Linked DNA regions of Stegostoma tigrinum. The protein of the gene in region 4 binds, or shares a complex with, the protein of the main gene of each other region. Links are inferred from orthologs where the notes say so. Each region holds a gene or a part of one and is shown on either strand. Other genes may lie near its edges.

Region 1 (7,095 bases), on a different chromosome or scaffold from region 4:
GTGGGGGGGGGCGGGGGGGTGTCTTGGAGGGGAACTCGCAGGGGGCTGGGGTTCCCCTGTACCTGCTGCCCGTTGCCCCCATCCCCAGGGGGTAGGGGTCCCGGGTTTGGAAGGTGCTGACTGGGGGGAGTCGCTGTGAATGGTACACACTGCTGCGACTGAGCATCGGCTGGGGCGGGGGGGGAGTGGGGGCTTGTGGACACGGTGCCAATCCAGGGAGGGCGAGGGGGGCTGCTTTGCCCCCAGATGGGGTCAAGCTTCTCCAGTGTTTGTCAGAGCTGCCCCCACCCAGGGCAAGTGGCGGGGGGGGGGGGGGTGCATTCCCTCACACTCCTGCCTTGTTAATGGTGGGACAGGGGAGTTGGGACGGGAGTCACTGGCTGCAGGATTCCCAGCCTCTGACCTGCTTTGGTAGCCCCCGGTATCGATATGGGGCAATGGTATCGATATCTGAGCAATGGTAACCCCCAGTGTGGTGATACTGAGGCAGGGAGTGGGAAAAGAGACTAGAGTGATGTTAACACCACTGAATGCCGGAGGGGGGGGCACAATGGTTAGATTCTCCCTCAGTGGTGACCCCTGGATGTTGACAGTAGGGTATTCAGCGATGGTGGTTACAATGACTGACTTATATTGGAGGCTGGGAAAGAGAGATTTTCAAACCAGGGAGGGAACCGGGGCGGGGGGGTGGGGGGTATGGAGGAAAGGGCAGGAAATTGGGAGATGGGGATGACCAAGATCAGCCATCGAAGGGTGGATGGACTCGATGGGCTGAGCGGCGCACAACTGCTCCTACATCACATCGTCTCATCGCTACAAAGCTGCTAGTGAACGCAACATGGACCGAGGACCACACAGAGGAGCCCTCACAAGCAAACGCTAACAACCCCCACCCAGCTCCATCGCTCCCGACGCCCCGGCCCACCGCACTGCCCCCTCCGCCCACCCGCCGACGCTCCCCCCCCCACCAACCCCCCGGCCCACCTCACCCCCAGCCACCTCCGCCCAAACACCCTTCCAGCCCCGCAACCCACCCACCATCTGCACAACCCCGTCACCTACCCACCCCCAGCCCGCTCACCTTCGCCTGCAGCATCCCGAATCCCACGGTCTCCTTTGCGTACATGCACAGCAGCAGGTTGGCCACACGGGTGATCGCCACCCTGCCTTCCTGAAACGGAAAGAGAGAGACACACGGGGGGTCAGAGAGGGCAAGACACGCACGCACACAGGGGTGGGGTACGCAGGGCTGCCCACACCCTCGAACAAGGGGGATTTAGCATGGACGTACAGAGGGTGAACAGGCTCAAAGTGGGCAATGCCCAAAAGCACGCATGGAACCCCCCTCCCTGAGAAAGGAGGTGGTCGGTTTTGCACCCCCCGCCGCCCCAATCCTCGCGGCTCTCACTTGACCCAGTCTGTTGCAAGCCAGCCCCTTGCCGGACGGGATATTCAGCTACGGACGGATTCGTGGCGCAGGACCAGATCCCCCACAAGCGATGCCACTCTTCTTGTGGGGGGGGGGGGGGGGGGGGGGAAGAGTGACCATGTCAGTGCTGAAAGGGAACAGTGAGCCTCCCCTCACCACCCGCCCCCAGCAGCCCCACACCATGCAGTCCATGAGGATGAATCGTAGCTTGTCCTCGTTGAAGGCCTGGTGCCCGTTCTTGGCGTAGGCAGCCCAGATGTTGCTGGCGATCGCTGCAGTCACCCGGGCATCTGTGTCTCCGTACCCCGAATACGCGAGGAGGGAGCCCTCGTTGTTCAACAACCTGTGGGGGGGGGGGGGGGGGTCATGGTTACTGTTAGCCGGTACATACCCCTCCCCAAATGTCACCCCTGCACAGACATCCAACCAGCACCCCCCCCCCCCCCCCCGGAATCCCACCCCGCTCCCCTCTTCACCACCCCCCCCATCCGTCTGTATACCAACACCCGCTCACAGGCTCCAATCTCCTCCCTAAACACCACCTCCCCACCCACAGAGGGTTTCACCCCCACCATAACACCACCCACTCCTCCGCTCCTGCCCCCAACTCACAGAAGCCTTCTTCCAAATGCCTCCCCCCCCACCACGGGGTCTCCAGCCCCCGCCACCCCCCACTCACTGCCCCCACGGGGTCTCCAGCCCCCGCCACCCCCCACTCACTGCCCCCACGGGGTCTCCAGCCCCCGTCACCCCCCACTCACTGCCCCCACGGGGTCTCCAGCCCCCGCCACCCCCCACTCACTGCCCCCCACGGGGTCTCCAGCCCCCGCCCCCACTCCCCCCACTCACTGCCCCCACGGGGTCTCCAGCCCCCGCCACCCCCCACTCACTGCCCCCACGGGGTCTCCAGCCCCCGCCCCCACTCCCACCACACACTGCCCCCACGGGGTCTCCAGCCCCCGCCCCCACTCCCCCCACTCACTGCCCCCACGGGGTCTCCAGCCCCCGCCCCCACTCCCACCACACACTGCCCCCACGGGGTCTCCAGCCCCCGCCCCCACTCCCACCACACACTGCCCCCACGGGGTCTCCAGCCCCCGCCCCCACTCCCACCACACACTGCCCCCACGGGGTCTCCAGCCCCCGCCCCCACTCCCCCCACTCACTGCCCCCACGGGGTCTCCAGCCCCCACCACCCCCCACTCACTGCCCCCACGGGGTCTCCAGCCCCCGTCACCCCCCCACTCACTGCCCCCACGGGGTCTCCAGCCCCCCGTCACCCCCCACTCACTGCCCCCACGGGGTCTCCAGCCCCCGCCCCCACTCCCACCACACACTGCCCCCACGGGGTCTCCAGCCCCCACCCTCCATAACACACTGGGGCCACGCCTCCCAAGGTCTCTCCCTGACTCCCCCAGGCCCTCCCTCCGCCCTCGCCGCAGCCCCCTCACTCACAGGGTGCTCTGGACCCCCGCGGTGTTGGCCTGGCTCAGGACCTGGGTCAGGGCTTTGGGCCTCAACATCTTCGGGAGTCGCCGGAAGTCCACAGTGACCGGAAACAGCCGTGCACTCTGGGATCTGTAGTTCCAAATCCCGCCGCCTACAGCCCGTGATCTCACTCTCACGTGGTCCTGCCCCCCCAACCCCTTCCGCCGGAACATGCATCTCTGCGCATATTTTAACCACGACCGCCTCCTTTGGGAGTTTTAATCGGTGAGCGTTATTTTCCGGAATATAAGGCAATCATCTGCGGCGAAGGTTAAAAAAAAATTCTCCCGCCGCCATCTTGGTAAGGAGAACGCGGGCGCTATGCCGTCGCCATATTTGTAAGGGAGATCTCGTCGAAGCTGCCCAAGGAGACGCCTTGTCGCCGCCATATTGGCAATGGGGTACCCATCCAGACGTTCCCATTGCTTCGGAAATAGCTGAAGCCACCCTGTTCACCATATTTGTAAAGGGGAAACAATCGGCTAAGACGGAAGTGCGGCTTTGTCACCATCTTGGTAAAGGAGAATTGTCTAATCAGGTTTTATTGTGCTGTAATGGTAGTTTTCCTACCCCTGGACAGGGAGGCCCGGGCTCAGGTCCCACCTGCTCGGAAAAAACAATACATTAACCATCAGCCTTTAAACAGACAACAAAACAGAACGGACACCACGGTGCTAACATTTACAGCTGCAACAGATGACAGAAGCTTGGCAATGTCCCCTGAATTTCTGTAGCGCCATGCATAACCTGCAGAATTGTTAAAGCACAAGAGGATGCCATTAAGCCCATTCCATTTCTGAATGAGTGCTCCCCCTGCGAGCTTCTACTTATTGCCATGTATGTTCTTCCATTTCAGATGGTGATCCTACTCCCACTTTCTGATTACCAATAGTCTTCGATTCCGTGCCCACTAGTCCAATCTCTCTGCGAATGGGAACAATTTCTCCCTCTCCGTTCCATTCCTGACCCCTAATGGTTTCCAAAGTTTTGGTAAAATCTCCTCCCTGACTTCTCTTCTGCAAGAAAACAGTCCTAGCATCTCTGATCTATTCACAACACTGAAATCCATCATCCCTGGAACCAATCCTGCAAATCCTTGCCTGTATGCTCTGGTGCCTTCTTAAAATGTGATGCCCACAACTGGACATTATTTCAGCTAAAGCTAACTTAGCATTCCACGCAATTTTAACATGATTTGCTTTGGAACCAAATTAAGAGGAAATGACAGGAATAGGCCATTCAACTGCTCAAGCCTGCTCTGCTATTCAATGGGATCAAGGTTAATCTAACATTCCTCACATCCACATTGCTGTATTTTCCCTGTAAGTTTTGATTTCCTGACTGATCAAGAAATCCAATCTATCTGAGCCTTAAATATACAGGAGGAGTCTGGCCCCTCTCTGCAGCAAAGAGTTCCAAAGACTCTCAAACACCTCCTCTCAGAAAAGAAATTCCTCCTCACTTCAGTCTTAAACTTATTCTAAGACTATGACCTAAGGTCCTAGACTCTCCCATGAGGAGAGTCCCCGGTGAGCCCCTTCGGAGTCCTATATGTTTCAATGAGATTATTTCTCATTCTTCTAAACTCCACTTAGTAGAGTCCCAACCTGTTTAATCCTTGCTCAAAAGACAATCCCTCCATACCTTGGATCACCTCAAACTTCTCTAAACTTCTTCCAATGAAACTATCTTTATCTAAATAAGGGGACTTAAACTGCTAACAGCACTCCAGATGTGATTTCCCCAGTGCCTAGCATAGTTGCAAATAAGACTTCTCTACTATGATACTCCAACCCTCTTGAAATAAGGGCCAACATCTCACTAGCCCTTCCTGACTACATGTGGTTAGCTTGCTATGTTTCCTGCAGTTTGTTGCAGCTTTCTGCAGCTTCTCTCCGGTTGAGTAATATTGTGTTCTTTTGTTCTCTCTTCCAAAATGAACAACTTCATATTTTCACTTGGTATAATCTATTTGCCAAATTTTTATCAATATTTCTCTGTAAACTGTAAAGAGTCACAGAGTTGTACAGCACAGAAAGAGACCCTTCAGTCCAACTTATCCACGCCAACATAATCCAGCCCCAGATTATAAAATGTGAGGCTGGATGAACACAGCAAGCCAAGCAGCATCTCAGGAGCACAAAAGCTGACGTTTCGGGCCTAGACCCTTTATCAGAGAGGGGGATGGGGTGAGGGTTCTGGAATAAATAGGGAGAGAGGGGGAGGCGGACCGAAGATGGAGAGTAAAGAAGATAGGTGGAGAGGAGAGTATAGGTGGGGAGGTAGGGAGGGGATAGGTCAGTCCAGGGAAGACGGACAGGTCAAGGAGGTGGGATGAGGTTAGTAGGTAGATGGGGGTGCGGCTAGGGGTGGGAGGAAGGGATGGGTGAGAGGAAGAACAGGTTAGGGAGGCAGAGACAGGTTGGACTGGTTTTGGGATGCAGTGGGTGGAGGGTAAGAGCTGGGCTGGTTGTGTAGTGCAGTGGGGGGAGGGGATGAACTGGGCTGGTTTAGGGATGCGGTGGGGGAAGGGGAAATTTTGAAGCTGGTGAAGTCGAGACATTAACCGCCTCTACCTCTCCACCCCCTCACCCACTCCAACCTCTCCCCTGCAGAACGGACAGCCCTCCGCTCCCTCCGCTCCAAACCCAACCTCACCATCAAACCCGCAGACAAGGGTAGCGCAGTGGTAGTATGGCGCACTGACCTCTACATCGCCGAGGCCACACGCCAACTCTCCGACACCACCTCCTACCGCCCCCTCGATCATGACCCCACACCCGAGCACCAAACCATCATCTCCAACACCATTCATGACCTCATCACCTCAGGGGACCTCCCACCCACAGCCTCCAACCTCATCGTTCCCCAACCCCGCACGGCCCGTTTCTATCTCCTTCCCAAAATCCACAAACCTGCCTGCCCTGGTCGACCCATCGTCTCCGCCTGCTCCTGCCCCACCGAACTCATCTCCACCTATCTGGACTCCATTTTCTCCCATTGGTCCAGGAACTCCCTACCTATGTCCGTGACACCACCCACGCCCTCCACCTCCTCCAGGACTTCCAATTCCCTGGCCCCCAACACCTCATTTTCACCATGGACGTCCAGTCCCTATACACCTGCATTCCGCATGCAGATGGCCTCAAGGCCCTCCGCTTCTTCCTGTCTCGCAGGCCCAACCAGTCCCCCTCCACAGACACCCTCATCTGCCTAGCTAAACTCGTCCTCACCCTCAACAACTTCTCTTTCGACTCCTCCCACTTCCTACAGACAAAGGGGGTGGCCATGGGCACCCGCATGGGCCCCAGCTATGCCTGCCTCTTTGTAGGTTACGTGGAACAGTCCCTCTTCCGCACCTACACAGGCCCCAAACCCCACCTCTTCCTCCGGTACATTGATGACTGTATCGGCGCCGCCTCTTGCTCCCCAGAGGAGCTCGATCAGTTCATCCACTTCACCAACACCTTCCACCCCAACCTCAAGTTCACCTGGGCCATCTCCAGCACATCCCTCACCTTCCTGGATCTCTCAGTCTCCATCTCAGGCAACCAGCTTGTAACTGATGTCCATTTCAAGCCACCGACTCCCACAGCTAACTAGAATACACCTCCTCCCACCCACCCTCCTGCAAAAATTCCATTCCCTATTCCCAATTCCTCCGCCTCCGCCGCATCTGCTCCCACGATGAAGCATTCCACTCCCGCACATCCCAGATGTCCAAGTTCTTCAAGGACCACAACTTTCCCCCCACAGTGATCGAGAACGCCCTTGACCACGTCTCCCATATTTCCCGCAACACATCTCTCACACCCCGCCCCCGCCACAACCGCCCAAAGAGGATCCCCCTCGTTCTCACACACCACCCCACCAACCTCCGGATACAACGCATCATCCTCCAACACTTCCGCCATTTACAATCCGACCCCACCACCCAAGACAATTTTCCATCCCCACACCTGTCTGCTTTCCGGAGAGACCACTCTCTCCGTGACTCCCTTGTTCGCTCCACACTGCCCTCCAACCCCACCACACCCGGCACCGTCCCCTGCAACTGCAGGAAATGCTACACTTGCCCCCACACCTCCTCCCTCACCCCCATCCCAGGCCCCAAGATGACTTTCCACATTAAGCAGAGGTTCACCAGCACATCTGCCAATGTGGTATACTGTATCCAC
Region 2 (7,697 bases), on a different chromosome or scaffold from region 4:
TTCTTTACAAATAATGTGCTGTACTACTCAATATAAAATTTTCCATGATATGGAGGTGCCGATGTTGGACTGGTGTGGACAAAGTCATAAGTCACAAGACACTAGGTTATAGTCCAGCATGTATATTTCAAATCTCAAGCTTTCAGAAGACTGCGCTGCGCTTCACTTCACTTCACCTGACAAAGGAGCAGCACTTCAAAAGCTGAGATTTCTAATAAACCTGTTGGACAATAACCTGGTGTCACGTGACTGACATTTAAAATTTTCCAAACTCTGACAATCTGTTTTTATACTCCAACGCCAACGTAGAGTATGCTGCTGAACAAAAAAAAATCTCAACTTGGTCAGTACTACAGAAACCCACTTGGTAACAGACACTGAACTGATCCACACACAATGCATTCTGCACCATCAGGGCTTCTAACTGGTGCTCAGCATGAAGGAGCACAGATTCAGCACCCAAGATAATTCTCTCTTGACTAAATAACACTGTACTATCACTTCTGGTAGGTCAGTCCTGTTGACATGACAGTACATAGACATATACAGGGATGGTGACCGTATCCAGGGTATTATCGTTAAGGTATCCTTCTAGGAGTATGTCTTTTTGTGAGGCTGTAGCTTAATTAGTCCATTCATTAATTGCCAGGTCATTTCAGAAGGCATTTATGAGTCAACCCCACTGTTTGGTCTGCAATCCCATTTGAGCATGATGGCAGATTCCTTCCATGAAAAGACACAGTCTTTCACTACTACTGTTTAAAAAAAAGTGAAAATGTTAACTCTTCCTCTTTCCACCAAAAATGGTAGAATTGCTTATTAGGTTAAACAGTATCTGTGGATAATTTCAAATTTCTAGCATCCACATTATTTTGCTTTTGTCTTAAAGCATCCATGGTCCCTTTCACTGGGCAAAGATGCCAGCCTTTTTCATAAAAGTAAAATGGAACTAAATGACTGCAAAAAAAGTAGTTACATAATCTAAGAAAACAGAAACCTCATTTGGCTGTAAAGGATCATACAAGGGCTAATGTGAAATTGTTCATTTTGGCAGGAAGAATTAGAAAAGCATATCCTCTAAATGGTTTCAGAGGAAGAAGGAGCTGCAGATGCTAGAGAATCTGAGATTCTCTAGCATCAGGCCAAACAGCATCAGGGGAGCAAGAAGGCTGTCAGATGCAGAGAGATCTGGGCGTTCTAATGCATGAATCACAAAAGGTTAGTATGCAACTATAGCACATATTTAGGAAAGCCAACAGTAAGTTTCTAAAGGGTCTAGGCCCGAAACATCAGCTTCCCGGCTCCTCTGATGTTGCTTGGCCTGTGGTGTTCATCCAGCTCTACAATTTGTTACCTCAGATTCTCCAGCATCTGCAGTTCCTACTATTTCAGAAAGTTATTGCTGATGGGTCAGCTAGCTGGATGGCTGGTTCATGATGCCAAAAGTGTGGGTTCACCATGAAAGAGTCTCCTTCTCAATCTCTTTCCTCACTTGAAGCATGGTGACCCTCAGGTTAAACTACAACCAGTTATCTCTCTTAAAGAACAGTCCTTTGACCGTTAGCATTTTTGTTAAAGAATATTGACAGCCTCATGTGAATGTATTCAGCAACTAATTAACTACAAAAGTTAAACTTTTCATCTATCTAGCCAGGTTTCACACTGGGGCCTAACTTGGTCAAAAATACCATCTGCTGGGATCATAACAATTAAAAAAAACAAATTAATTATCTGTTTGGATTGAAATATTAACTTTCTTGAAAATGAGTGAACACAGATCCATGTATATTACTGGAAAATATGCATGAGTGGGTAAAAATCCACTGCACCCTGAAAAACATGAAGGCCAATTGTGATGTTTATAACTAGGAGTATTTAGCAGTTACATTAATTCCCATCCCTTTACTCTTGACTGCTTCTTTTTGTTGATTGGGACCTGAAAGTGAGGTCCAAAATTCTACTTGATTTTACATCTGCAAACATTGTGTCATATACACACATTTCTGTTAAACTCCACCTTAAACATAACTAATTTCCATTTCAAGACAACATAAACAAACATCAGGTTTGTAACATATTGTATTTGTCAGTACTGTATTCTGTTCCGTTCCTATTACATTGTTTGCACTATGGTGTAAATCCATGCAATTCCATTAATTATCTATTTTCAGTATGATACAGCTTTAAAAGAGGAAATAAACAGTAAGACATCTCGATCCATCTGCTCGTGGGTGCCAATTAATCCATCGTTGGGGGGCGATTTTTTTTAAAAAGTATTCGATAGCAAAATGATTTGTAATATGCATTTGTTTTAAATTAACAATCATAGAGTAGATTATATATCCGAAACTCATCGACCCGTGGAGAAAACAGACTGAATATTTTAATGTAAGGATAGGATTTTTAAAAAACTGGCATCAAATCGTCGTCAGTGTTCCTCGTATTTATTTCTATCCGAGCTTCAAGACATTTTTTCCTTCACTTTTTGACTTTTAGCCAAGTCTTTATCTCAATAATTGTCACAAGATGAGAATACACGTGTAGGTCCACCCAACCACAGGGAACTACATGTCCAAAGGCGTTCTCCTCAAAAAGGTAAAGAACAACAGACGCCTAGTAAGGCAGGTCTCACAATAACCACGATTACTCTCTGCACACGGACGAAACTCAAAACCATGGAAGAAACATAAAGAATATGCATCAATTCAGCGCGAGAACACACTTCCGTAATCTGGCTACAATGTATCTGGAAGCGTCACGTTCACTCACTCACTGTATCAATTTAACTACCGATACTCTTTGATGTAATTCTTCCCTAACAGGAAGCATTCAAAACACATTCGATCACGGTTCTTACCTGAAGGAACTGTCTTCCTTCAAACCTTTGATAGGGGAAAGTAAGCCATTCCGCTTATTAAATAGTTTCTGAAATAAAGTCGGTGGCATTTTTTTTCCTGTAGGTGAGAGAATCGGAGTGTAACGCACTACCCCATCGAGCTTCACTGTCATATGACTGAGATTGGCTTAGTGCCGCCGCTTCAGGAAAACTCCAAACGGTTTCTCTCATTGGCCCTCTGTCGACAGACCTGCTCTGTACCGAATGTAATTATTGGCTGTTTCGCGTCGTGTAACCACATGCTTAGTGAATTTTTTTTCAATGTTTTGGTTTTTCTTAGGGGTGTGTTCAGTGACTGCAAGGAATTGGTGTTTTGATCTCGCTTAGCAGTAAATACTGCAAACTTCTTAATACCATTAATGGCTCGCTGGTTTATATACGCATTACAAAACTGCAGTTTTCTTCACTCTACCACGCAAAATGCAGTTAGATTCAGATACAATTTTTGGACATGTTTGTTCCACAAGGCGGAGAGGACAGTGTAATTGTTGAGCTATGTGCCGCTTTTTGCACTAGCCAGTAGTTTTAAAATCACCAAATAAGGCAGGCATAGGAGAAAAATTGCAGCGACAACTCGAAAATTTAACATCAGGAATTTACAATGCAGTAACTCATCGCGTCTACTGGGTCGACTTTCCATTTTTTAAAATAAAATTTTAACTCCGCCCCCCCCTTTTGTTTAAAAACTTAATTCTGCATGCACGATTGCTTTCACAAGTTGTACAAGTCGGACCCATTGAGTGCCTTAAAACACTTTTTTGATTGTCTTAAAGTTTAGTAACGGGGTGTATTGGCCAATTTTAAAAACTTTTAGCTCATACCAGTTTACGTTTTTTTAAATACTAAATACAAGAAACCAAACATCCAATGGGCAGATTTTAAGTTCAGTCCAAAAAACCCAATTTAAGAATGGCATCTGATGGACAATGTTTACTTCCAATATAAATTTAAATAGTTTCAATCCATAATGGATGGCTAGGACACATCAGCTTTGTATCAAAAGGGGTCTCTGGGCCCATTGAGTTAATTCTACTTTTTCTCCACTGATACTTCCAGGCCTGCTGAATTTCTCCAGCAATTGCTGTAGGGTTTTGTTTGCTCCTATTATAGTGCACGATGCATCTAAAAACGTCTAAGGCTTCTCTAAGTTGCTCTAAGTTGAAATTGGTATGCACCACATCATCATCCCTGGTTTGAAACTGACCTAAACACACGGGTACTCTCTCAGCCATAAAGATGCTTCCTAAAATGAACTCTGAAATATGTCAGGTGTACCTGCATCTGCAAGAGAAACTAGTTCCGAAATGCAATTTCATTCAAGCCCAAAAGACAGTAATTCCCAGCAACTGAGATGTATGGTGTAAGCAGTTTGAACATCCTCTTGAAGAAAAAAGTTAGAAAAATAAACAGGTCAAGCATTATTTTTAAATTAGAAACAAGCAAAAAGATTTTTTTATTGTTAGGGTGGAAGGGAAAGATGCACACACATGCAACAGCGTTGAATATTGAGGTATATGTAGACTTTATCAATCTTAACAGCAGGGCCCTATTAAAATAGACAAGATTCCCACTGACACACGAGCATATTCATTATGTGGCTGCTCAGGAGGAATGTGGCGACAGAAGTCTTGAGCCAGACAGTTAGCAGGTGTGGGGGTAATTTACTCGCATTGTGTAAGTGTGGAGAGAGATCAGATCAGGGTGGGGGAGGCCAAAGGACTTAAGGAGAGCTCCACTGCTGTTCTGGTTCCAGAAGAAAAGTACATTCCTCAACTTAGCGTGGCCCAACTCTAGTTAATCATTCATTCCGACCAGATTTCTTCTGGTAGACCAACTCCGTTGCCTTGTCATTAATATTATGTATGACCTAATGATGATTCTGCTGCATATAATGTTTGTAACACTATTAGGCTGTTACATGTTTTTAAGTGAGCTTTGTCTACACAAACTACAGTTGCTTATTCTGATTTTCAAATGTTAATTCTCTCCCTCTGCACCCTCTCTGTCGCTGTAGCACTGTGTATTCTGCACTCTGTTCTGCCAACTTGATGCATTTTGTTTGGTGCAATCTGCCTATATAGCACACAAAACACTTTTTGCTGAATCCAGGTACATATGACGACAATAAATGAATCAATTATATGGTACACGGCCATGCAGGGAAACCAGTGGACTAGTAATACTATCACTGGACTATTAATCCAGGGACCAAACTAATATTCTGGGGACTTGGGTTCTAATCCTGCCATTGCAGAGAACGGAATTTGAAATTACTAGAAATCTGGAATGAAAACTCAAAATGACCATAATTCCATTTAGTTCATTGCCATCCTTTAGTAAGGTAACCGCTGTTCTTATCTGGTCTGGCCCACGTGTGACTTCAGACCCACAGCAATATGGTTGCCTCTTAACTGCTCTCTGGGCAGTTAGGGATGGGCAATAAATGCTGGCCTAACCAGCAATGTCCTCATCCAAACGAGTAAATAAAAAAAGGAAGAATTTTGAATTTCAACATTTGAACCTTTCTACTGAGTGGAAATCAGGACCTATAATTCTGCACATTTGCAACTGTTTTAACAGAGATAACAAAACGTCAAGCTGGATGAACACAGCAGGCCAAGCAGCAGAGGAGAAGGAAAGCTGACGTTGAGTCACGACCCTTCTTCATTTTCTGGATACCATACTCAAAGCAGAAGTTAAAGCAAGATTCTCCACGGTCAGTTTTTTTGCTCAATTAGGGCTTTTGATATATTTTCATCAAATAAATGAAACACAAAAATGAAAGTTACCAGTAGTATTGTGTCATTCTGAGACTTTTGGAATTATCAAAATGTGACAGTCTTAGTAGATTAAATTTATTTTAGATTTAGATTTATTTTTTTAAAAAAGCTTTTTTGCAGCAGGTACACATAATTAAGTGCCTTGCTATACCAGTTAAGAGGTCAGTTAAATGATAAGTAATGAACGCAGAGCATTGGCCCAATTCTACCGCTCTCTCGTCCCGTGCTAAATGTCCACACAGTGCTGCTATAAAGAGTGAGAAACAGTTAACTAAGAGTCAAATAAAATTCTTTTTTGGAAGATTATTTTTTGAATGCTACAAGCTGGCAAAAAAAATGCAACGGAGGTCCAGTATGTAAACCAAATGCATAACTGCCACATCTATGAAGCATGTTAGCAAGAGATTGCAAATGTAGTTATCCGTAACTGAAAGTTAAGGACTGAGTGGTTAATAAACCTCTGAGCTTTAAGTACATTGAATCCACAATACTCAATCTATATTACTTCAAAATAACACAAGAAAGCATGATATGATGTGCAGTGCCAGGTATTTAAAAAATAAACAAGGTTGTAATAAGTTTGAAAACCTCAGACAAAACTTGAAGCAGCACAGGAATCACATTTATATTAGGACCACAGGGGGAAAAAAAAAACACACATGAACAGTGAGCACTTGCTTTGTGACAAGGAAAACAAAGCTCAAGCAACCGCCAAAAACAGCACAGGATAGAATTTTTTAAAAAACAGCCACCAGGCATTGCCAGCATTTGCAGAAGACAGGGGCCCACAGAATAAATTGTCTACCAAATTCTCAGACAAGATTTGGAAGGCCAAAGGTGCCCGCTTCAGATGTAAGCTTTTTAAACAAAGGATAGATCTATGCTTTTTTCAAATTAACTGTTGCATAATCAGATAAGCAGTGGAAATAAAGATAGCAGTTGGAAATTAAGGGTTATATAAAGCAAAACTTCAGTCATGTCTAAAGAGCACGAGAGAGAATATGCCACTTCCCCTTGAGAAAAGTTGAAAAATTAGCTTCATGTAAAAGTGGACTTTAGGATTGACTGTCTGCAATTGATGTCTTTCAATCAACAGCAAAAAAAAATTAATTGATCAGTTTGTCAGTCATAATTTACATAATTATGTTGGACTATTACACAAAGATGATGTCATACTGATGGAAACATAGAAGATAGGAGCAGGAGGCCATTCACCCATTCTAGTCTGCTCCACCATTCATCACAATTATGGCTGATCATCCAACTCAATAGCTTAGTCCTGTGTCCTCCCCGTAACCTTTGATCCCATTCACTCCCAGTCCTATATCTAGCTGTGTCTTGAATATATTCAATGTTTTGGCATCAACCACTTCCTGTAGTAACGAGTTCCAAAAGCTCATGAACTGTTGGGTGAAGAAACATCTCCTCATCTCCATTCTAAAGCATCTAGCCCGAATCATCAGATGTGACCCCTGGTTCTGGACACATTCACCATCGGGAACATACCCCCCCCATGCATCTACACTGTCTAGTCCTGTTAGGATTTTATAAGTCTCTATGAGATTCCCCCCTAATTTTCTGAGCTCCAGCAAAAACAATTCTAACCTAGTCAATGGTCTAGGCCCGAAACGTCAGCTTTTGTGCTCCTGAGATGCTGCTTGGCCTGCTGTGTTCATCCAGCTTCACACTTTGTTATCTTGGATTCTCCAGCATCTGCAGTTCCCATTATCTCTAACCTAGTCAGTCTCTCCTTGTACATCAGTCCAGCCATCCCTGGAATCAGCCTGGTAAACCTTTCCTGCACTCCTGAGAGCAAGAGCATCCTTCCTCAAAAAAAGGAGACCAAAACTGCACACATTACTATGGGTGCGGCCTCACCAAGGCCCTGTATAACTGCAACAATACATCCCTGCTCCTGAACTCGAAACCACTCGCATTGAAGGCCAACACACCGTTCGACTTCTTTACCACCTGCTGCACCTGCATGCTTACATTCAGCAACAGGTGCACAAGGACACCCA
Region 3 (7,304 bases), on a different chromosome or scaffold from region 4:
GAAGGGTCTCAACCCAAAACGTCAGCTTTCCTGCTCCTGTGATGCTGTATTCCTCTACCACCACATGTTATCACAGAAAAATAGATACAAGTTCAGCTGAGTGACAGCAAAGAGGGTTTAACGGTGAACAGTTCTATTGTGTCTTGGAAAGTGGCTCATGGTGGGAATTCCCAGGGTCAGTCCCCAACTACTGCTTTTGACACATTTAGAGTTGTTGACTTCGCTGCCTTGAGCAAAATTTCAAATACTGCGTATGATTCAAACCTTGCAAACACCAAATTGTGGAGGATAATGATGGAATTTATGAGAAAGCAAACAGTGAAATAGCTTCAAGAAGCCAAGTTGCCCACAATCAGCTCCTAATGTGTATGAAAGAAAGCTTTCTTACACAAGAAGTGGTTAGGATCTGGGAGACACAGTATAGTGGAGACAGATTCAATCACGTTTTTCATAGGACGACCAGATGTGCACTTGAAGGGGCAAGGTTTACAGTGCTATGGGGAAAAGATGGTGGAGTCCCACAGACTAATATCTTCTTCCAGGGAGAAGGTATAGACACAAATGACCGAATGGACTCTGTACTATAACCTTTCTAATGATTAAGAATAGATAAAATAGGTAGATTGGTCATGAAGCTTTTAAAGTTTGCTCCATTATTTGTCGAGATCATGGCTGATTCACTACACCAACACCATTTTCCTGCAAATTACATATCATCTGCAACATCTTTAATATTTAGAAATCTATCAATTTGTGCATTTAATCATTTTATTCACTTATTCTGTGGGCATTGTTCGTTGGGACAGCATTCATTGCCCATCCCTCCATTCTCAGTGACCTGTCCCTTAGTCGGAGATACTTTCCCCTGGATTACACCCTAGAGTAGAGAGAAACTTTTTTTACATCTATTCTGTTCATCCTTATAAAAAGGATTTTCTAAGTTTCACCTTTCATTCTTCTAAACTCCACAGCATACTCAGTCTCCTCAAACTCTCCTCACAGGACAATCTCAACATCTTAGCAATCTATCCTGTGACTCTCCACTGCACTCCCCCTGTGTGCATCCTTCCTTCAATAAGGAGAGAAAAACTGTACATGAACAGTTAAGGTAAAGTCTCATCATAGCTCTATACAATTAAAGCAAGGCAGGCATCTTGACTCCTGTAATCTAATAATCTTGTTATAAAAGGTGAACATACTATTATTGTCATAATTACTTGCTGTACCTGCTTGAGATCAGTAAATTATGAACAAGGATATGAATAAGTTTTCCTCGGGCTTCACCACTTCAAGCCTGTTCCGAACTTGGTGGAATTCCTACTTTTTGTTGGGTTTCTCAACAAGGCCAGTTATGACTCCATGGATAGTGTCCTACCTTCTGTCAGAAGAATGTGCTTCCAGTCCCTCTCCACATCATTGAATATAAAATCAGTCAATGACCCAAGAGCAGTAATCAGAGAGTGATGCATTCAGTAACACCACCTTTTAGGTGAAATGTTAAACCAAGGACCAAGCACAATAAAAAAAGTTTTCTGGCCATAATGAAATTCTCGTGAGGAATCTTAGCATACACAAATCTGGTCTCATTTCTTATCTTGCAATGGTGACTACCTTGGAGGAAATGCTTCATTTGTGTCACAGAAATACAAAAACTGCTTAGTCATAGACAGTTGACAGGACAGAAAAAGGCCATCCGGCCCATCCTGTTTGTGCTAGCCAATCACCACCTGGCCGAACAATATATTCTAGCATTAGGCAATCTTTCTTTAGTTTCACTGAAACAAGTAAATCACACCACATCCTGGTTTTGGGAACTGTAGATGTCCAAGACAAGAATTTGAAACTCTTGTTCAGCAGAATTAGAGTATAATAAGTGAGTGACATCAGCTCTGCAAGGCAACAATGAGCTGATTTGAGATAATGGGAATGGGAACTACAGATGCTGGAGAATCCAAGATTACAAAGTGTGGAGCTGGATGAACACAGCAGGCCAAGCAGCATCTCAGGAGCACAAAAGCTGACGTTTCAGGCCTAGACCCTTCTTCAGAGAGGGGGATGGGGAGACGGAACTGGAATAAATAGGGAGAGAGGGGGAGGCAGACCGAAGATGGAGAAAAGAAGATAGGTGGAGAGGAGAGTATAGGTGGGGAAGTAAGGAAGGGATAGGTCAGTCCAGGGAATACAGACAAGTCAAGGAGGCGGGATGAGGTTAGTAAGTACAAAATGGAGGTGCGGCTTGAGGTGGGAGGGATAGGTGAGAGGAAGAACAGGTTAGAGAGGCGGGGACAAGCTGGGCTGGCTTTGGGATGCACTGGGGGGGGAGCGGAATAACTGGGCTGGTTTTGGGATGCGGTGGGGGGAGGGGATATTTTGAAGCTGGTGAAGTCCACATTGATACCATTGGGCTGCAGGGTTCCCAAGCGGAATATGAGTTGCTGTTCCTGCAACCTTCGGGTAGCATCATTGTGGCACTGCAGGAGGCCGATGATGGGCATGTCGTCAAGAGAATGGGAGGGGGAGTTAAAATCATTTTAACTGGTGTGTGGTTAACCCCACACACCAACCCCTCCAATCCAGGATAATGGCAAAGGGGTGGCGGGGGGGTTAACCCCGCACACCAACCCTCCAATCCAGGATAATGGCAAAGGGGTGGCGGGGGGGTTAACCCCGCACACCAACCCTCCAATCCAGGATAATGCAGGGGGAGGGGGGATTAACCCCACACACCACCACACCCCCCAGGCCAAAAGGAGGGGTCAGGCTGCACCACACCAGCCCTGAAGGGACTCAATGAGTTTCCAGGTGATTTTGCCGGGTGTTTTAAGGAGAAGGCGGACGCGGGGATTATACTGAAGGGTGATCCTCACCTGTTCACTGCTGTCGCCCTCACTGCTATAACAACAGCCCATGGTGGGAACCAGAGGAGCGCAGGCCGCGGGCTCCCTATTTACACCATCACATGATCGGGCCTAGCAACCATTGCGTCACATCCGACCCGAACTGTCAATCACCCGGACGAGCGCCCAACTGCCGACGTCATCTCCGCCGCAGACTGTCAATCATCGCTAGCCCCTCAATTCTCAACCGTTTTGGTCTGTCGATCATAATGGGAACCGCCCCTCTATGACATCAGATCCGGTTGGTCTGTCAATCATCCTGTGCCATTTTCTCGTAAATTGATCCTCAGTTGGGGTCAGAGTTCAAGCCTAGTTGCCTATTCGGCCCATTGTGTCTGTGCTATCTCTCCCCATGAGTGATTCCTGCAGCTTCTTCCTGTTCAGATAATGATCCCATTCCCATGTGAAAACCTCTGGATGCTGATTGATTGTTTGTTACGTGTGCTGAATTACAGTGAAAAGCTTTGTTTACCAGTGGTACAGGCAGATCATGGTAAGCAAGGATGTACATACAGATCAAAAAGACTTGGACAGAGGCATAGGGGTTACACAAGGCTTCAGTGCGAAAAGCGGCCCTCCACCACTACCCTCTGTCACTTACCTTCAGGACAATTTTGTTTCCAAATGGCTAGTTCTCCCTGGATTCTATGTGATCTGAAGATCTTGATCAAATCTCTCAACCTTCTCTTCGTTGTAGACAGTTCCAGCAGTTTTTCATCAGTTGATCCTTTTTTTTATCCACTCCCCTCATGAGGACAGTCAAGAATCAGCCACGTTGCTGTGGGTTTGGAGTCACATGTTAGCCAGACTAGGTGAGGATGGCAGTTTCCTTCCCTAAAGGACATGAGGGAACCAGATTGGTTTTCCCCAACAATCAACATCATTCGACTGTAAGAGGGTTCTCTAGCTATCCAAACAAACTCATAAAATTCAGACCTGCTCCTGCTTGGTCACATCTCAGCACTTTGTGCTTTAGACACTGTTCGCTAACTCACACAGGGACATGGACAGTTACTGATTTCTCAGGATTGTTAGCTTTGCAAAATGCCCATGTGGAAAAATGCCAAGATCCCATTATAGTGAAAATCCAGCCATCTTTTTTTCCTGTTCATTAACTGATCCTCTATCCATGAGAATATGTCATTCCCAATACCATGCGCTCTTATTTTGTAAAGTTACGTAGAACATTACTGCACAGTACAGGCCCTTCGGCCCTCAATGTTGTGCCGACCTGTCATACTGATCTGAAGCCCATCTAACCTACACTATTCCATGTACGTCCATATGCTTGTCCAGTGACGACTTAAATGTACCTAAAGTTGGTGAATCTACTACCATTGCAGGCAAAGCGTTCCATTCCCTTACTACTCTCTGAGTAAAAAAACTACCTCTGACATCTGTCCTATATCTTTCACCCCTCAATTTAAAGCTATGCCCCCTCGTGCTCGCCATCACCATCCAAGGAAAAAGGCTCTCCCTATCCACCCTATCTAACCCTCTGATTATTTTATATGTCTCAATTAAGTCACCTCTCAACCTTCTTCTCTCTAATGAAAACAGCCTCAAGTCCCTCAGCCTTTCCTCGTAAGACCTTCCCTCCATACCAGGCAACATCCTAGTAAATCTCCTCTGCACCCTTTCCAAAGCTTCCACATCCTTCCTATAATGCGGTGACCAGAACTGTACACAATATTCCAAGTACAGCCGCACCAGAGTTTTGTACAGCTGCAGCATAAGCTCTTGGTTCCAGAACTCATTTCTTGCAGTTGCTTCTTGGGTGGACAGTCAAAATAACAAGTTGTTGTAAATGACAGCTTGTGGTGGTCTCCAAAGGCCTGTTCAAGTTCTGGATGTGAGTTTGCTCGCTGAGCTGGAATGTTAGTTTTCAGACGTTTCGTCACCATTCTAGGTAACATCATCAGTGAGCCTCCGACAAAGGCTTCGTCGGAGGCTCACCGATGATGTTACCTAGAATGGTGACGAAACGTCTGAAAACGAACCTTCCAGCTCAGCGAGCAAACTCATATCCAGAAACTCAACCTGAGCTACAAATCTTCTCAAAACTCACCTGTTCAAGTATCACTTTTTTTAATTGCTGTTTAAAATTAATTTGTTGATTGAAAACTTCATAATCTATCAATGTTGCCAAGACAGTGATGAGGCTACGTCTCGACTCAGGCAGACACAGGATCACAGAATTGTTATTGGCATGGAAGGAGGCCATTCAGCCCATCGTGCCTGCACCATTAAATGAACAATTAATAAATCTGGAATCTTGACTAGTGATGGTGTTCATGGAACTATTATCAATGGTCATAAAATTCCAGTTGGTTCACGAATGTCCTTTCAAGATGTGGTCTGCCTTTCCCAGTTTGGCCTATGTGTGGCTCCAGCAACATGATTAAGTGGTGGGTGCATGTCAGTTTAAGGAGTTATAGAATCAGACAGTACAGGACCTTCGGCTCTTCAAGTCTATACTGCCAAAGGTCACACATTTATGACAGAGATGAGGAGGAGAGAGAGGTTTGCAGATTGGGCAGGTGTACAAGGTAATGAGAGGCATAGATAGATTCGGTAGCCAGAGACTTTTGCACAGAGCAGGATTGACTGCCACGAGGGGTCATAGTTTTAAGGTATTAGGAGGAAGGTGTAGAGGAGACGTCAGAGGGAGGTTCTTCACCCAGAGAGTTGTGAGCGCATGGAATAGTTTACCAGTGGTAGTCGTGGAAGCAGAGTCATTAGTGACATTTAAGCGACTGCTGGACATGCACATGGACAGCAGTGAATTGAGGGGAATGTAGGTTAGGTTATTTTATTTTGGGATTAGGATTATTCCATGGCACAACATGGTGGGCCGAAGAGCCTGTACTGTGCTGTACTTTTCTATGTTCTATGTTCTATAAGTGACAGATAGAATTTTTCTTTGCTCTACACAGGATGTAAGTGTTGTTGGTCAGTCCACAGCATTTCCTGTTTCCACACTGAAGGGATTCTATGATTTATGATAAGATCATAAGATGTAGGAGCAGAAATAGGCCATTCAGTCCATTGGATTTGCTGTACCATTCACTGAGATTGTGGCTGATCTGATAATCCTCAAATCCACATTCTCGCGCTTCCCCATAACCCTCAAATCTCTTACTGATTAAAAATCTGTCTATCTCAGCCTTGAACGTACTGAATGACCCAGCCTCAACAACCCTCTGCAAGAAAGTATTCCACAAATTCACTACCCTCAGAGAGAAGAAATATCAACTCTCATTTTCTCTTTCTCTCATCTGATGAATGTTTTTAACATTGTTTCTTGTTGCTGCATTTAACCTGCATCTGACCTCGGGTGAAATCTTTGAGGGTTCTGAATGATGTGGACTCAGACCCCTAGGTACCAGGGTAACTCACAAACCAGCAACCACCCTGCGACAGCTACTGACGAACATAAAGGACCCCGTACTGACAACCAATAAAACTAACATAACATACAAAAAACCATGACTGTGAAAAGCATTACATTGGCTAAACTGGAAGAAAACTGATATTAAGGAGATATGAACACCAACTAGCCACCAAGAGACACGACCTATTCTCACTTGTCTCATACTTCACAGACAAAGAAGAAGACAAATCTGACTGGGACAACACATCCATATTAGAGAGAGTAGGAACTGCAGATACTGGAGAATCTGAGATAACAAGGCGTAGAGCTGGATGAATACAGCAGGCCAAGCAGCATCAGAGGAGCAGGAAGGCTGATGTTTCGGGCCTAGAGCCTTCATCAGAGAGGGGGGGATGGGGTGAGGGTTCTAGAATAAATAGGGAGAGAGGGGGAGGCGGACCGAAGATGGAGAGAAAAGAAGATAGGTGGAGAGAGTGTAGGTGGGGAGGTAGGGAGGGGATAGGTCAGTCCAGGGAAGACGGACAGGTCAAGGAGATGGGATGAGGTTAGTAGGTAGATGGGGGTGCGGCTTGGGGTGGGAGGAAGGGATGGGTGAGAGGAAGAACAGGTTAGGGAGGCAGAGACAGGTTGGACTGGTTTTGGGATGCAGTGGGTGGAGGGGAAGAGCTGGGCTGGTTGTGTGGTGCAGTGGGGGGAGGGGACGAACTGGGCTGGTTTAGGGATGCAGTGGGGGAAGGGGAGATTTTGAAACTGGTGAAGTCCACATTGATACCATTAGGCTGCAGGGTTCCCAGGCGGAATATGAGTTGCTGTTCCTGCAACCTTCGGGTGGCATCATTGTGGCACTGCAGGAGGCCCATGATGGACATGTCATCTAAAGAATGGGAGGGGGAGTGGAAATGGTTTGCGACTGGGAGGTGCAGTAGTTTGTTGCGAACTGAGCGGAGGTGTTCTGCAAAGCGGTCTCCAAGCCTCCGCTTGGTTTCCCCAATGTAGAGGAAGCCACACTGGGT
Region 4 (7,921 bases):
TCTCACCCCCCCTGCCCCCTCCTCTCCCCCTCGCTCCCCGCCCTCACCCCCCCTGCCCCCTCCTCTCCCCCTCGCTCCCGCCCTCACCCCCCCTGCCCCCTCCTCTCCCCCACGCTCCCGCCCTCACCCCCCCTGCCCCCTCCTCTCCCCCTCGCTCCCGCCCTCACCCCCCCCTGCCCCCTCCTCTCCCCCTCGCTCCCGCCCTCACCCCCACTGCCCCCTCCTCTCCCCCTCGCTCCCGCCCTCACCCCCCCTGCCCCCTCCTCTCCCCCTCGCTCCCGCCCTCACCCCCCCTGCCCCCTCCTCTCCCCCTCGCTCCCGCCCTCACCCCCCCTGCCCCCTCCTCTCCCCCACGCTCCCGCCCTCACCCCCCCTGCCCCCTCCTCTCCCCCTCGCTCCCGCCCTCATCCCCCCTGCCCCCTCCTCTCCCCCTCGCTCCCGCCCTCATCCCCCCTGCCCCCTCCTCTCCCCCTCGCTCCCGCCCTCATCCCCCCTGCCCCCTCGTCTCCGCCTCGCTCCCGCCCTCATTCCCCTGCCCCCTCCTCTCCCCCTCGCTCCCGCTCTCATCCCCCCTGCCCCCTCCTCTCCCCCTCGCTCCCGCCCTCACCCCACCTGCCCCCTCCTCTCCCCCTCGCTCCCGCCCTCATCCCCCCTGCCCCCTCCTCTCCCCCTCGCTCCCGCCCTCATCCCCCCTGCCCCCTCCTCTCCCCCTCGCTCCCGCTCTCATCCCCCCTGCCCCCTCCTCTCCCCCTCGCTCCCGCTCTCATCCCCCCTGCCCCCTCCTCTCCCCCTCGCTCCCGCTCTCATCCCCCCTGCCCCCTCCTCTCCCCCTCGCTCCCGCTCTCATCCCCCCTGCCCCCTCCTCTCCCCCTCGCTCCCGCTCTCATCCCCCCTGCCCCCTCCTCTCCCCCTCGCCCCCGCTCTCATCCCCCCTGCCCCCTCCTCTCCACCTCTCATCCCCCCTGCCCCCCTCCTCTCCCCCGCTCTCACCCCCCCTGCCCCCTCCTCTCCCCCTCGCTCCCGCCCTCACCCCCCCTGCCCCCTCCTCTCCCCCTCGCTCCCGCCCTCACCCCCCCTGCCCCCTCCTCTCCCCCTCGCTCCCGCCCTCACCCCCCCTGCCCCCTCCTCTCCCCCACGCTCCCGCCCTCACCCCCCCTGCCCCCTCCTCTCCCCCTCGCTCCCGCCCTCACCCCCCCTGCCCCCTCCTCTCCCCCTCGCTCCCGCCCTCACCCCCACTGCCCCCTCCTCTCCCCCTCGCTCCCGCCCTCACCCCCCCTGCCCCCTCCTCTCCCCCTCGCTCCCGCCCTCACCCCCCCTGCCCCCTCCTCTCCCCCTCGCTCCCGCCCTCACCCCCCCTGCCCCCTCCTCTCCCCCACGCTCCCGCCCTCACCCCCCCTGCCCCCTCCTCTCCCCCTCGCTCCCGCCCTCATCCCCCCTGCCCCCTCCTCTCCCCCTCGCTCCCGCCCTCATCCCCCCTGCCCCCTCCTCTCCCCCTCGCTCCCGCCCTCATCCCCCCTGCCCCCTCGTCTCCGCCTCGCTCCCGCCCTCATTCCCCTGCCCCCTCCTCTCCCCCTCGCTCCCGCTCTCATCCCCCCTGCCCCCTCCTCTCCCCCTCGCTCCCGCCCTCACCCCACCTGCCCCCTCCTCTCCCCCTCGCTCCCGCCCTCATCCCCCCTGCCCCCTCCTCTCCCCCTCGCTCCCGCCCTCATCCCCCCTGCCCCCTCCTCTCCCCCTCGCTCCCGCTCTCATCCCCCCTGCCCCCTCCTCTCCCCCTCGCTCCCGCTCTCATCCCCCCTGCCCCCTCCTCTCCCCCTCGCTCCCGCTCTCATCCCCCCTGCCCCCTCCTCTCCCCCTCGCTCCCGCTCTCATCCCCCCTGCCCCCTCCTCTCCCCCTCGCCCCCGCTCTCATCCCCCCTGCCCCCTCCTCTCCACCTCTCATCCCTCCTGCCCCCTCCTCTCCCCCTCTCATCCCTCCTGCCCCCTCCTCTCCCCCTCGCATCCCCCCTGCCCCCTCCTCTCCCCTCGCATCCCCCCTGCCCCCTCCTCTCCCCCTCGCATCCCCCCTGCCCCCTCCTCTCCCCCTCGCTCCCGCTCTCATCCCCCCTGCCCCCTCCTCGCCCACTCTCATCCCCCCTGCCCCCTCCTCTCCCGCTCTCTTCCCCCCTGCCCCGTCCTCTCCCGCTGTCATCCCCCCTGCCCCCTCCTCTCCCGCTCTCATCCCCCCTGCCCCCTCCTCTCCCCCTCGCATCCCCCCTCCCCCCTCCTCTCCCCCTCGCATCCCCCCTCCTCTCCCCCTCGCATCCCCCCTCCCCCCTCCTCTCCCCCTCGCATCCCCCCTCCCCCCTCCTCTCCCCCTCGCATCCCCCCTCCCCCCTCCTCTCCCCCTCGCATCCCCCCTCCTCTCCCCCTCGCATCCCCCCTCCTCTCCCCCTCCCCCCTCCTCTCCCGCTCTCATCCCCCCTGCCCCCTCCTCTCCCCCTCGCATCCCCCCTGCCCCCTCCTCTCCCGCTCTCATCCCCCCTGCCCCCTCCTCTCCCCCTCGCATCCCCCCTGCCCCCTCCTCTCCCGCTCTCATCCCCCCTGCCCCGTGCCCCCTCCTCTCCCCCTCTCCCCCGCTCTCATCCCCCCTCCCCCTCCTCTCCCCCTCTCTCATCCCCCCTCCCCCTCCTCTCCCCCCCTCCCCCTCCTCTCCCCCTCCTCTCCCCCTCTCCCCCTCCTCTCCCCCTCTCCCCCGCTCTCATCCCCCCTGCCCCCCTCACCACAATTTCTCTCCCCTCCCCCTCCCCTTCTATATTTAATGTTATTTCTGACTCTATAATTATTTCTCTCTCACTCTCGATTTCCCCTGAATTTACTTTGAAGATTATCTCCCTATATTGACTATTTATGTGTTTAATGTTATTTCTCTCTCACGTCTCTCGAAGTTGGGAATCTAAAGCCGACTCCATTCTTCACATCCGGGAACTACCCAAGGGTTACCCGGAAATAGCGTCACCAGTGGGCGGTACACCCGCGTTTACCCGCCTGTTCACCCAGTGTTGACCCGCCACTGCAATAAAACCCCGCCTCCCCACCTTCATTCCCCCTCCTTCCCCTCCATCCTGGCATCCTTTTCCCTCCCCTCGGACCCCAAGGACTAGCCCCGCCCCCTGCACTAACACCGCCCCCTACCTTAACCCCGCCCCTGCAGTAGAACCCCTCCTATTTTCCCTGCCCCCTTCTCTACGCCACCCCCACAATTACCCTGCCCCTCTGTGATGCCCTTCGGACTAGCCCCGCCCCCTGCAATAACACCGCCCCCTTCCTTGACTCCTCATCTGCAGTAGAACCGCTCGTATTATCCCTGCCCCCTACACTAACCCCGCCCCCCACGTTAACTCCGCCCCTGCAGTCATACCCCTTTGACTGACCCTGCCCCCTTAACACACCCTCCCCCCTGTACGAACGCCGCACTTTGCCTAAACCACGCCCCCTACACTAACCCCGCCCCAATACTGACCACGCCCTCTACACTAACCCCACCCCTACACTAGCCCCGCCCCCTGATCGCCCGGTCATTGGACTGGGCGGTGTGCACGACCTGCTGATTGCAGGGACAGAAGGAGTTCCGGAGAGTCAGGGTAGAATGTAGTGGCCAACGCTCACCAGAAGGGATTGGGGACGGTGGAAATTTGGGAGTATATAGCTGTACAGTACATTGCTGAGACTATTTTTGGAATACTGCGTACAATTCTGGCCACCCTAATTTAAGAAGGATATTGTTAAACTTGACAGCGTGCAGAAAAGATTTCAAACGGTGTTGGTACTGTTGGAGGGTTTGAGCTACAGGGAGAGGCTGAATGGGCTGGAGGTTTTTCCCTGGAGTGCTGGGGACTGACACCTTACACAAGTTTATAAAAGCATGAAGAATATGGATAAGAGTGAATAGTCAAGGTCTTTTTCCTAGGGAAAGTGGATTCCTAAACTAGAGAACATTGGTTTAAGTGAGAGGGGAAAGATTTAAAAGTACCTGAAGAATGTGTTTTTCACACAAACAGTGGTGTGTGTATGGAATGAGATGCCAGATAAAGTGGTGGAGGTGTGTAGAATTACAATATTTAAAAGTCAAGATAATAAAATGTGAGGCTGGATGAACACAGCAGGCCAAGCAGCATCTCAGGAGCACAAAAGCTGACGTTTCGGGCCTAGACCCTTCATCAGAGAGGGGGATGGGGAGAGGGAACTGGAATAAATAGGGAGAGAGGGGGAGGCGGACCGAAGATGGAGAGTAAAGAAGATAGGTGGAGAGAGTGTAGGTGGGGAGGTAGGGAGGGGATAGGTCAGTCCAGGGAAGACGGACAGGTCAAGGGAGTCACGGGTGGTCTCTTGTTCGCTCCACACTGCCCTCCAACCCCACCACATCCGGCACCTTCCCCTGCAACCGCAAGAAATGCTACACTTGCCCCCACACTTCCTCCCTCACCCCTATCCCAGGCCTCAAGATGACATTCCACATTAAGCAGAGGTTCACCTGCACATCTGCCAATGTGGTATACTGCATCCACTGTACCCGGTGCGGCTTCCTCTACATTGGGGAAACCAAGCGGAGGCTTTGGAGACCGCTTTGCAGAACACCTCCGCTCAGTTCGCAAGAAACAACTGCACCTCCCAGTCGCAAACCATTTCCACTCCCCCTCCCATTCTCTAGATGGCATGTCCATCATGGGCCTCCTGCACTGCCACAATGATGCCACCCGAAGGTTGCAGGAACAGCAACTCATATTCCGCCTGGGAACCCTGCAGCCTAATGGTATCAATGTGGACTTCACCAGTTTCAAAATCTCCCCTTCCCCTACTGCATCCCTAAACCAGCCCAGTTCGTCCCCTCCCCCCACTGCACCAGACAACCAGCCCAGCTCTTCCCCCCCCACCCACTGCATCCCAAAACCAGTCCAACCTGTCTCTGCCTCCCTAACCGGTTCTTCCTCTCACCCATCCCTTCCTCCCACCCCAAGCCGCACCCCCAGCTACCTACTAACCTCATCCCACCTCCTTGACCTGTCCGTCTTCCCTGGACTGACCTATCCCCTCCCTACCTCCCCACCTATACTCTCTCCACCTATCTTCTTTACTCTCCATCTTCGGTCCGCCTCCCCCTCTCTCCCTATTTATTCCAGTTCCCTCTCCCCATCCCCCTCTCTGATGAAGGGTCTAGGCCCGAAACGTCAGCTTTTGTGCTCCTGAGATGCTGCTTGGCCTGCTGTGTTCATCCAGCCTCACATTTTATTATCTTGGATTCTCCAGCATCTGCAGTTCCCATTATCTCTAATATTTAAAAGCCATCTGTTTAGGTATATGAATAGGAAGGGTTTAGAGGGATATAGACCAAATGCTGGCAAATGGAACCAGTTCAGATTGGGATGTCTGGTTGACCTGGATGAGTGAGAGTCTTTTTCCGACGATGATGACTTCAGCTTGGACGAGGGGGCATAGCTACAAATTGAGGGGTGATAGATTTAAGACAGATGTCAGAGGCAAGTTCTTTACTCAGAGAGTGGTAAGGGCATGGAACACCCTGCCTGCCAATGTAGTTAACTCAGCCACATTAGGGGTATTTAAACGGTACTTGGATAAGCATATGGATAATGATGGGGTAGTGTTGGGGGAAGGGCTTAGATTGGTTCACAGGCCAGCGCAACATCGAGGGCTGAAGGGCCTGTTCTGCGCTGTATTGTTCTATGTTCTATGTTCTAGTTGGATGGAAGGATCTGCTTCTGTGATGTATAACTCTATGACTTCACAAATCTTAGAATTCTTTGAGGAGGCAATAGGCACGTTAGACAAAGGAGAGCCAGTGGATGTGATCTATTTAAATTTCCAGAAGCTTACAGAATACTGAGAACCTTTTAATAGAGAGGATGTTCCCGCTAGTGGGAGAGGCTAGGACCGACAGTCTCAGAGTGAAGGAAAGACCCTTTAGAACTAAGATGAAGTGGAATTCCTTCAGCCAGAGGGTGGTGAATCTGTGGAACTCATTGCTGCAGAGGGTTGTGGAGGCTACGTCATTGTGTGTATTTAAGACAGAAATTGATAGTTCTTGATTGATAAGGAGATCAAAGGTTGCAGGGAAAAGGCAGGAGACTTGAGTTGAGAAACATATCAGACATGAATGGTGAAGCAGGTCTGATGCTGAAATAGTCTAATTCTTATCCTATATGTTATAGTCTTAAGGCTTTTAACTAGGTGCCACACAGGAAGTTCCTAAATAGCACAAGAACCCTTGGTGTTAAGGGCAAAGTATGGCATGGATAGAGGATTGGCTGACTGGTATAAAGCAGAGAATCAGGTTGAAAGGATAGTTGCCAAAATGGCAGCCAGTGACTACAGTCAGATCTATTGTAACACAATAGTTGCATTCCTGCGCAACATTGCATTACAGAAAATCACACTGTAGGAATAATGGGCCCAATGGGAAAAGCGGTGTTAGGGGTAGACCGTCAAAAAGTATCACTCAAAAGCATAATACAAAAGAAAGCGCAGTTTAAATAAATGTTTAATTCACATCTAATAATGAAATAAAGATAAATTTAATGCCTAATCTTGAAAAATCGTCAAGATGATTTTATGGGGGAGGAGTTTTTGAGGTTGCTCTATTGTTAATGCAGAGGCTGAGCGTCATCATCATCATCATCATCACCTTCAGGTGCAGGTATAATTTGTCTGATCTCTCCTCATTACTTAAACCTGAAGTTCAGGTATCATTTTTGTAAACCTATGTTGTACTCCCTTCATGGCCAATGTATCCTTCCCAAAGCCTGGTGCCCAGACCCACACTCAGTACTCCCAAGTGCAGTCTAACCAGGGTTCGATGTAACTGCAGCATAGCTTCTATATCCTTGTACTCCATCCATCTAGATATAAAAGCCAACATTCATTAGATATTTGAATATTTTCTGTACTTGTTTGTGGTATTTTATAGATGTATGCATCAGAAGCCCCAAGCGTCTTTGAACATCTACTATATTTAACTCCATACCATCTAGAAAGCACCCAGATCTATCATTTTTCGGTCTAAAGTAGGTAACTTCACACTTATTTACATTGAACTTTGTTAGCCAGCTTTGCCCTTTCTCCCAGTTGATACCCCATTGTGATGCTATTGCCAAAATCTACACTGTCTAAAATGCCATTTAACTGTGTCATCAGCTTTCTATTTATGACTTTATATGCCATTATCAAAGAAATTAATAAATAATGTGAAGAATTGTGGGAATGACACTGCTGATTCTATGATGACCTTTCTACAGCATGGGGCTAGATACAGACAAAAGCTTGCTCTACAACGTCCCCATCAAACGCTCCCAAGACAAGTATAGCTTGGTGTCAGGTACAGTGTAAAACCTTTTACTCTCTTAAACAGAAAGCAAACCCTCTCTATCAAACATTCCCAAAACAAGGTCAGCATGGGTGTAGATACAGAGTAAAACTCTTTCTACTCTTAAAAATAGAAAGTAAACCTCTCACTATATTGTCCCCATCAAACTTACTTAGGACAGAGACAGCATGAGGTTAGGTACAGTGTAAATCTCCCTCTACTCTTTCATGTTGTCCCAGTTTCATTTTAGAATAATGATACTTTGTTGGTTGGATTTCTGGTATGTCTGTGGCTGTTTTAAATTGTTGTTTATTTTACTCCATTTGACTCTCCTAACCAATGAGAAGCATGTTTAAAGGGCTTTCCAAGATTACAACATTACATATTGTAATCAACCCCTATCGACAGATAACTCTTGCAGTGAACCTGTCCCACAGATAATTAGCTGGAGACTTTCACACTGCTCATCAATTGTCCTTATAATTTGAATTGGAAGTAGTTCCTAGCTGTAACTGTCCTGAGGGATATTAAAATTGGTAAATAATTCTCTCTCATAATGAGGACTTG

The links.
Region 1: lamtor5 (region 4) and lamtor2 share a complex: the UniProt entries of both Homo sapiens proteins name them as parts of the ragulator complex. The link is inferred for Stegostoma tigrinum from reciprocal best matches to the Homo sapiens genes LAMTOR5 and LAMTOR2.
Region 2: lamtor5 (region 4) and fnip1 share a complex: the UniProt entries of both Homo sapiens proteins name them as parts of the lysosomal folliculin complex. The link is inferred for Stegostoma tigrinum from reciprocal best matches to the Homo sapiens genes LAMTOR5 and FNIP1.
Region 3: lamtor5 (region 4) and lamtor1 share a complex: the UniProt entries of both Homo sapiens proteins name them as parts of the ragulator complex. The link is inferred for Stegostoma tigrinum from reciprocal best matches to the Homo sapiens genes LAMTOR5 and LAMTOR1.

Annotation. Positions count from the first base shown.
Region 1 is NC_081400.1:6,456,279-6,463,373, forward strand, and holds lamtor2 (ragulator complex protein LAMTOR2), read right to left. Parts: upstream 3,008-7,095; 5' UTR 2,953-3,007; coding exon 2,885-2,952; intron 1,773-2,884; coding exon 1,610-1,772; intron 1,172-1,609; coding exon 1,082-1,171; intron 482-1,081; coding exon 374-481; downstream 1-373. UniProt on the Homo sapiens protein: As part of the Ragulator complex it is involved in amino acid sensing and activation of mTORC1, a signaling complex promoting cell growth in response to growth factors, energy levels, and amino acids.
Region 2 is NC_081366.1:27,651,918-27,659,614, reverse strand, and holds the start of fnip1 (folliculin-interacting protein 1), read right to left. Parts: upstream 3,013-7,697; 5' UTR 3,010-3,012; coding exon 2,858-3,009; intron 1-2,857. UniProt on the Homo sapiens protein: Binding partner of the GTPase-activating protein FLCN: involved in the cellular response to amino acid availability by regulating the non-canonical mTORC1 signaling cascade controlling the MiT/TFE factors TFEB and TFE3.
Region 3 is NC_081359.1:110,907,910-110,915,213, reverse strand, and holds the start of lamtor1 (ragulator complex protein LAMTOR1), read right to left. Parts: upstream 3,004-7,304; 5' UTR 2,910-3,003; coding exon 2,868-2,909; intron 1-2,867. UniProt on the Homo sapiens protein: Key component of the Ragulator complex, a multiprotein complex involved in amino acid sensing and activation of mTORC1, a signaling complex promoting cell growth in response to growth factors, energy levels, and amino acids.
Region 4 is NC_081374.1:828,281-836,201, forward strand, and holds the start of lamtor5 (ragulator complex protein LAMTOR5), read right to left. Parts: upstream 3,012-7,921; 5' UTR 2,949-3,011; coding exon 2,914-2,948; intron 1-2,913. UniProt on the Homo sapiens protein: As part of the Ragulator complex it is involved in amino acid sensing and activation of mTORC1, a signaling complex promoting cell growth in response to growth factors, energy levels, and amino acids.